2 linked regions of the Anolis sagrei genome follow. The protein of the gene in region 1 purifies or fractionates together with the protein of each later gene. This does not show direct contact. Links are inferred from orthologs where the notes say so. Each region holds a gene or a part of one and is shown in the gene's direction. Other genes may lie near its edges.

Evidence for each region. The genes of interacting proteins can lie anywhere in the genome.
Region 2: the proteins of DNAJC7 (region 1) and BAG5 purify together in Homo sapiens (affinity purification with mass spectrometry; 4 studies listed by BioGRID and IntAct, with this or other methods). This does not show direct contact. The link is inferred for Anolis sagrei from reciprocal best matches to the Homo sapiens genes DNAJC7 and BAG5.

What each region holds. Positions count from the first base shown.
Region 1 is NC_090026.1:45,047,794-45,051,548, reverse strand, and holds the start of DNAJC7 (dnaJ homolog subfamily C member 7), read left to right. Parts: upstream 1-1,039; 5' UTR 1,040-1,148; coding exon 1,149-1,264; intron 1,265-3,755. UniProt on the Homo sapiens protein: Acts as a co-chaperone regulating the molecular chaperones HSP70 and HSP90 in folding of steroid receptors, such as the glucocorticoid receptor and the progesterone receptor.
Region 2 is NC_090021.1:327,335,549-327,339,303, forward strand, and holds the start of BAG5 (BAG family molecular chaperone regulator 5), read left to right. Parts: upstream 1-845; 5' UTR 846-1,120; intron 1,121-3,755. UniProt on the Homo sapiens protein: Co-chaperone for HSP/HSP70 proteins. It functions as a nucleotide-exchange factor promoting the release of ADP from HSP70, thereby activating HSP70-mediated protein refolding.

The sequences.
Region 1 (3,755 bases):
TGACAATATTATTATTATATTGTATTACTAGCCATCCCCTGCCACGCGTTGCTGTAGCCCACATGAGGGTTCTGTGTGGGAGGTTTGGCCCAATTCTTTCATTGGTGGGGTTCAGAATGCTCTGTGATCGTAGGTGAACTATAAATCCCAGCAACTACAACTCCCAAATGTCAAAATTCTGTTTTCCCCAAACTTCACCAGTGTTCACATTTGGGCATATTGAGTATATGTGTAGAGTTTGGTCCAGATCCATCATTGTTTCAGTCCACAGTGCTCTCTGGATGTAGGTGAACTACAACTCCAAAACCAAAGGACGCTGCCCACCAAACCCTTCCAGTATTTTCTGTTGGTCAAGGGAGTTCCGAGTGCCAAGTTGGGTTCAATTCAATCATTGGTGGAGTTCAGAATGCTCTTTGATTGTAGGTGAAGTATAAATCCCAGCAACTACAACTCCCAAGTGACAAAATCAGGGTTTTTTTAGTGATGGTCACTCCTTGGGTTAGTAGGTGTCTTGTGGCCAAATTCGGCAGCAATTCATCCAGTGGTTGGTGGGGTTCAGAATGCTCTTTGATTGTAAGTGAACTATAAATCTCAGCAACTATAAATCCCTGTAGAGTTTGGTCCAAATCCATCATTGTTTGAGTCCAAAGTGATCTCTGGATGTAGGTGAACTACAACTCCAAAACTTTATATAAATTGCATTATTATTATAAATAATTTATATTTTTATAAATAATTTTATATTATTATATTGTATTATGATTAGTTTTATACTCTTACATTATATTATTATCAATATTCTATGTACATACAATATATTATATGATTAGCACAGAACAATATTAGTAGCTATTTATTAAATAAATTATTTAGTATTTTATTTATTAAATAAATAGTGCATAGAAGCCAAACTCTGTCCTGCCACAGAGTCCTCCACTCTCCCACTTGGTAACCTAGGAGACCCAGAGGTTCCCTCTTGGCGGACTTAGCCCCCATCTCCTCTCTAGCCCCCATCTCCTCTCTCCCTCTCCGGAAGTGCACTTTTTTCCTGTCTTCCGCTCTCTCCTCTCGTTCGCCTCGCGCTCTGTCTCTCTCTCCCTCTCTCTTCCCGGCTCGCCGGCCGTTGATTGCAGCAACAAGGAAGCAAGATGGCGTCGGCGGGCGGAGATTGCGACGTGATTATGGCGGCCGCCCCGGCGGTGGCTTCGCATCCTGAGGCGCCGGTGATGCTGGGCGACGAGGACGAGGAGTCGGAGACGCGGAGGTAAGGCCTGGCTCCTCTCCCGAGGCGGGAAGGGCCTGCTTCTTCGCTTCAGGACGGGGAGGAGGAGCCTGCTTCACAGGAAAGCGGGGGGAAAGGAGGCCCTCTCCAGGGGCCTTCTGCAGGCAGCATTGTCATGCCTCTCAGCCCCTTTCTCGGGGTTCTGGAGTGCCAGAATGCTGCACCCCAGCATGAGTGCAGTTTGACCCCACTTAAACAGCTAAGGCTCCATGTTATGGGGCCCTGGGATTTGTAGTTTGCTGGGAGCAGACGACGTCGAAGCCCTTGGCAACTAAAGTGGATCCAAGTTTGCAAACAAACCATTAATTCAGGGTTGCTGTGAGTTTTTCGGCCTGTATGGTCGTGTTTCAGTATTGAAAAGAGTGAATGAATTGTTTACTGTACCAGCCATAGGCCATGACATCACATAATATACAACCTTTAAAAGTACAATGAGAAGTTCCCAATATGACTATTACTTACTTAGGTGATCCCTCGTTTTCCGAGGAGGATTGTCTTCCAGTATTCTTGTGGGTCCGTATGTGGCTGTGGAGCCCTATTCTTGCTCTGCATCTTCTTCTGCAGTGAGGGCATTGGTTTCCAGGTGGAAGGCGGTCTCGGTCGGGGTTGGCTTGACACGCCTTCCTCTTGGCACGCTTCTCCCTTTCGCCCTCCATTCATGCCTCTTCAAATTCTGCAGCACTGCTGGTCACAGCTGACCTCCAGCTGGAGCGGTCAAGGGCCAGAGCTTCCCTGTTCTCAGAACTTGTATGTAGTTGCCTTCACTTAGGTGATCCCTCGTTGTCCGAGTAGGATTGTCTTCCAGAATAGGTGTACTGGCGGTGGGTATGTAGGTGACTGTGGAGCCCTATTCTTGATCTGCATGTTCTCCCACAGTGAGGGCATTGGTTTCCAGGTGGAAGGCAGTTCTGGTTGGCTTGACATGCCTTCCTCTTGGCACATTTTTCTCTTTCACCCTCCATTCGTGCCTCTTCAAATTCTGCAGCACTGCTGGTCACAGCTGACCTCCAGCTGGAGTGGTCAAGGGCCAGAACTTCCCAGTTCTCAGTGTCTTTGCCAGAGTTTTTAAGGTTGGTTTTGAGCCCATCTTTAAATCTCTTTTCCTGTCCACCAACATTCCGTTTTCCGTTCTTGAGTTTGGAGTAGAGCAATTGCTTTGGGAGATGGTGGTCAGGCATCCGGACAACGTGGCCGGTCCAGCGGAGTTGATGGCGGAGGACCATTGCTTCAGTGCTGGTGGTCTTTGCTTCTTCCAGCACGCTGAAGTTTGTCCGCTTGTCTTCCCAAGAGATTTGTAGGATTTTCCAGAGGCAGCGCTGATGGAATCATTCCAGGAGTTGCATGTGATGTCTGTAGACAGTCCACGTCTCACAGGCATATAGCAGGGTTGGGAGGACAATAGCTCTATAAACAAGCACCTTGGTATCCCTACGGATGTTCCAGTCCTCAAACACTCTCTACTTCATTCACAACCACAAAGGTCTGATTTGTAACATCCCAAAACATATCCATTTCTCGCTTCTGCTATGGACTTTAATAATAATAATGATAATAATATATATTTGTGTTCTATTTTAAGAGGACCAAACGTATGTTGTATGTTGTGTTTGCACTGTCTGTTTTTGATAAGGCCAACTGGCTAATCAATAAAATTGTTGTAATAATAATAGTAATCATCATCATCATCACTTTATTTTTCTATCCTGCCTCCATCTCCCCAAAGGGACTCTGGGCAGCTTACATGGGGCCATGCCCAGAAAACATACAGTTAAAAACAGAACAGCAAAATATAAAACAGCATAAAAACAACATCATCATCAAAAAATAAAAGCAAGCATCATAAGCAACAACATAGGTACCTCTAATCTCAATTTTTGCAGGGAGAGGATCAATATATAGTTATTTGTTTGTTTACAGTATTTATATTCCACCCTTCTCACCCCGCAGGTGACTTAGGGCAGATTACAATGTACATATACATGGCAAACATTCAATGCCATAGACACATAACATATATAGACAGACACTCAGGGGCTATTTAACAATCCAGCTTTTTCATGAGGATATTCTGGCCACCAGGGGAGCTGTCGCTTCACCCTCCATAAAAAAACCACCAGAATCAAGAGAGTAAATAAAGAACACTACTCAAACAGGGGAATTCCAGACAGCCAATCATCAAGTGCCTGTTAACACCTCCCAAAGATGCCCCCAGGCAGCAACAGCCATGTTTAGGAGAGCCATCGAGTACTTCGTGTGCTAGGGTTCCTTGTGCAAAGCCTGTAAAACTGGGTTAGTATTATGAGTGCTTGTAGAAAGCCTTCAATGGCCTTTGGTCATCCAGTGAAATTCTGTAGTGGACTTGACATTTTTGCCAGGTAATCAAGTGCCACATCATTCCAGTTTGTCAGAGAGAACAAACCTGTTCCTGTGTGATCCCAGAAAGTTTGAGCAGCCACCACATTGTGTCCATATT
Region 2 (3,755 bases), on another chromosome or scaffold:
CGTTCTGGCACCACGAGATGCAGAGCCAACCTTAAGAAATGGGGATACAAAGTGGAATCCATGACATGCGAGAGGAGGAAACCACTGACCACCTGCTGCAATGCAACCTGAGCCCTGCCACATGCACAATGGAGGACCTTCTTGCAGCAACACCAGAGGCACTCCCAAGTGGCCAGATACTGGTCAAAGGATATTTAAGCAACTACCAAACTGACAAGTTTTGTATTTTGTCTGTTTGTTTGCTTTGTTCTGTTAGAAATGTAATATAATGGACTGGTTGCTCTGACACGACAAATAAATAAATAGTACAGATATGCTGCATTCTCACAAGACACTGAATTAGAAGTCACCATAAGATTTATATCTGTGGTTCCCAATTTAACTAATTTTACACACACCAGCTGCTATATAAATATACTGCATTCCTTTTCTACACCAAGAAATCTAGACTATACTGGTCAAAGGACATTTAATCAACTACCAAACTCACAAATTGTGTATTTTGTCTGTTTGTTAGAAATGTAATATAATTTGACTGGTTGTCCTGACACGACAGATAAATAAATAGCCATTCACTCATGCGCAAAGACAAATCTGGCCTATCCCTGGAGTTGTTTGGCGATTTACGCGTGCGCAGAAACCAAAGAGTAATCCCTCGGCCATTCACGCATGCGTGAAGCAAAAAAAAAAGTAGACGAAGGGCCGTTAATAAGTCAACGCCGGTTTCTCGCAACTCGCGCATGCGCAGAGAAAAGTGGGCGGGCTCACGAGGCCGAACCCGATTTCCTTGGCAACAGGCTTTCAAAAAAGGATCCCCCAAACAAGCGAGGGCGGGTGTTGGTGTTGCTTTACGGCACTGTCGCGCGAGAGAAGGAGTGTTCGTCTCCTCCGCCTGGAAAGTGCCTGTCAGGGAAAGAGGGCGAGTGCGCATGCGTGTTGGGAGCCAGACTGCTTGGGTCGGGATAAAAGTAGAAGCAGGAGCCGGAGGAGGATCTCATCTCCCTGGGGCGCCGGAGGAGAGCCCTGGGATGGCGGCTGCGGTGGGAGGGGCTCTGAGGAGCCCGTCTGCCTGCTTTTGGGGCCCGTGCTGACAGGAGAGAGCGTGGGGACGGCGGGGAAGGTAAGAGGGAAAGCCCCGGCTGACGTACTTTGTGAGAACTGCATGCATTTGAAGGGGATTTAGTCTCACAGTGTTTTCTGTTGGTCATGGGAGTTCTGTGTGGCAAGTCTGGCCCAATTCTGTCGTTTGTGGGACTCCAAATGCTCTGATTGTGGGTGAACTATAAATCCCAGCAAACTACAACTCCCAAATGTCAAGCTCTATTTTTCCCAAACTCCACCAGTCTTCACATTTGGGCGTGCTGAGTATCCATGCCAAGTTTGGTCCAGATCCATCATTGTTTGACTCCACAGTGCTCTCTGGATGTAGGGGAACTACAACTCCAAAACTCAAGGACAATGTCCACCAAACCCTTCCAGTATTTTCTGTTGGTCATGGGAGTTCCGTGTGGGAAGTTTGGCCCAATTCTGTCGTTTGTGGGACTCCGAATGCTCTGATTTTGGGTGAACTATAAATCCCAGAAAACTACAACTCCCAAATGTCAAGGTCTGATTTCCCCAAACTCCACCAGTGTATACATTTGAGTATACATGCCAAGTTTGGTCCAGATCCACCATTGTTTGAGTCCACAGTGCTCTCTGGATGTAGGTGAACTACAACTCCAAAAGTCAAGGTCAATGTCCACCAAACCCTTCCAGTATTTTCTGTTTGGGAGTTCTGTGTGCCAAGTTTGGTTCAATTCCATCATTGGTGGAGTTCAGAATGCTCTTTGATTATAGGTGAACTATAAATCCTAGCCCCAGTGGCGCAGTGGGTTAAACCACTGAGCTGCTAAGCTTGTTGACCGAAAGGTAGCAGGTTCGAATCCAGGGAGCGGCGTGAGTTTCCGCTGTCAGCCCTAGCTTCTGCCAACCTAGAACTTTGAAAACATGCAAATGTGAGTAGATCAATAGGCACTGCTCCAGCGGGAAGGTAACGGTGCTACATGCAGTCATGCTGGCCACATGACCTAGGAGGTGTCTATGGACAACGCCGGCTCTTCGGCTTAGAAATGGAGCTGAGCACCACCACCCCAGAGTCAGACATGACTGGACTTAATGTCAGGGGACAACCTTTACTTTACTTATAAATCCTAGCAACTACAACTCCCAATTGGCAAAATCTATTTTCCCCAAACTCCACCAGTGTTCACATTTGGGCATATTGAGTATTTGTGCCAGAGTTTGGTCCAGATCCATCATTGTTTGAGTCCACAGTAGGTGAACTACAACTCCAAAACTCAAGGTCAATGCCCACGAAACCCTTCCAGTATTTTCTGTTTGGGAGTTCTGTGTGTCAAGTTTGGTTCAATTCCATCATTTGTGGAGTTCAGAATGCTATTTGATTGTAGGTGAACTATAAATCCCAGCAACTACAACTCCCAAATGACGAAATCAAACCCCCCCCAACCCCACCAGTATTCAGATTTGGGCATATCAGGTATTTGTGCCAAATTTGGTCTGGAGAAGGAAAATACATCCCGCATATCAGATATTTACATTACGATTCATAACAGTAGCAAAATTACAGTTACGAAGTAGCAATGAAAATAATTTTATGGTTGGTGGGGTCACCACAACATGAGGAACTATATTAAGGGGTCACGGTATCACGAAGGTTGAGAACCACTGGTATAAAGGGAAATGAGGGGTTTGCCTCATTTAATGGAAAATAAAGGGGGGGGTTCATCTATAAGTAAGTGTAAAGGGAAATAAAGAGGGGCTGCATCTACTCCTGCACTAGGAAGGAAAATAAGGGGTGGTCATCTAGTATGAAGGGAAATAAAGTGTTAATCTATTAGTGTAAAGGGAAATAAAAAGGGGGTTCATCTAATATAAAGGAAAATAAAGAAAGGGTTGTTGTCGAAGACTTTCATGGCCGGGATCAATGGGTTGCTGTGAATTTTCCAGGCTGTTGGGCCATGCTCCAGAAGCATTCTCTCCTGACGTTTTGCCCACATCTATGGCATGCATCCTCAGAGGTTGAAGAATCTGTTGGAAGCTAGGCAAATGAAGTTTATATATCTGTGGAATGTCCAGGGCGGGAGAAAAAACTCTTGCCTGCTTGAGGCAGGTGTGAATGCTGCAATTGTCACCTTGATTAATGGTCTTGCAGCTTCAAAGCTTGGCTGATTGCTTCCAGAGGGGGGATCCTTTGTTGGGAGGTGTTAGCTGGCCCTGATTGTTTCCTGTCTGGAATTCCCCTGCTTTTTGAATGTTGGTTCTTTATTTACTAAAATCTAAAATCAGGACAGTAAATTTTTTATTTATTTATTTGTCGTGTCAGGGCAACCAGTCAATTATATTACATTATTACATTACATTATTACATTATTATTATTATTATTATTATTATTATTATTATTACAGTAAATAAAGACCAGCACTCAATGCTCAAAAAGCATATATTTGTATAAAGGGAGTGCACCTATTAGTATTATTTATTTTTATTTATAAAGTATTTCTACCCCGTCTCTTCTCTACTCAGGACGGCTTACAAAGTGTTCATCTATTAGTATAAAGGGGCTGCATTTATTAGTATAAAGGGGGTGCATGCATTAGTATAAAGGGGTCCATCTGTTAGTATAAAGTGTTAATCTATTAGTATAAAGGGGGAGGGGCATCCATTAGCATAAAGAGGGTTCAACTATCAGTAT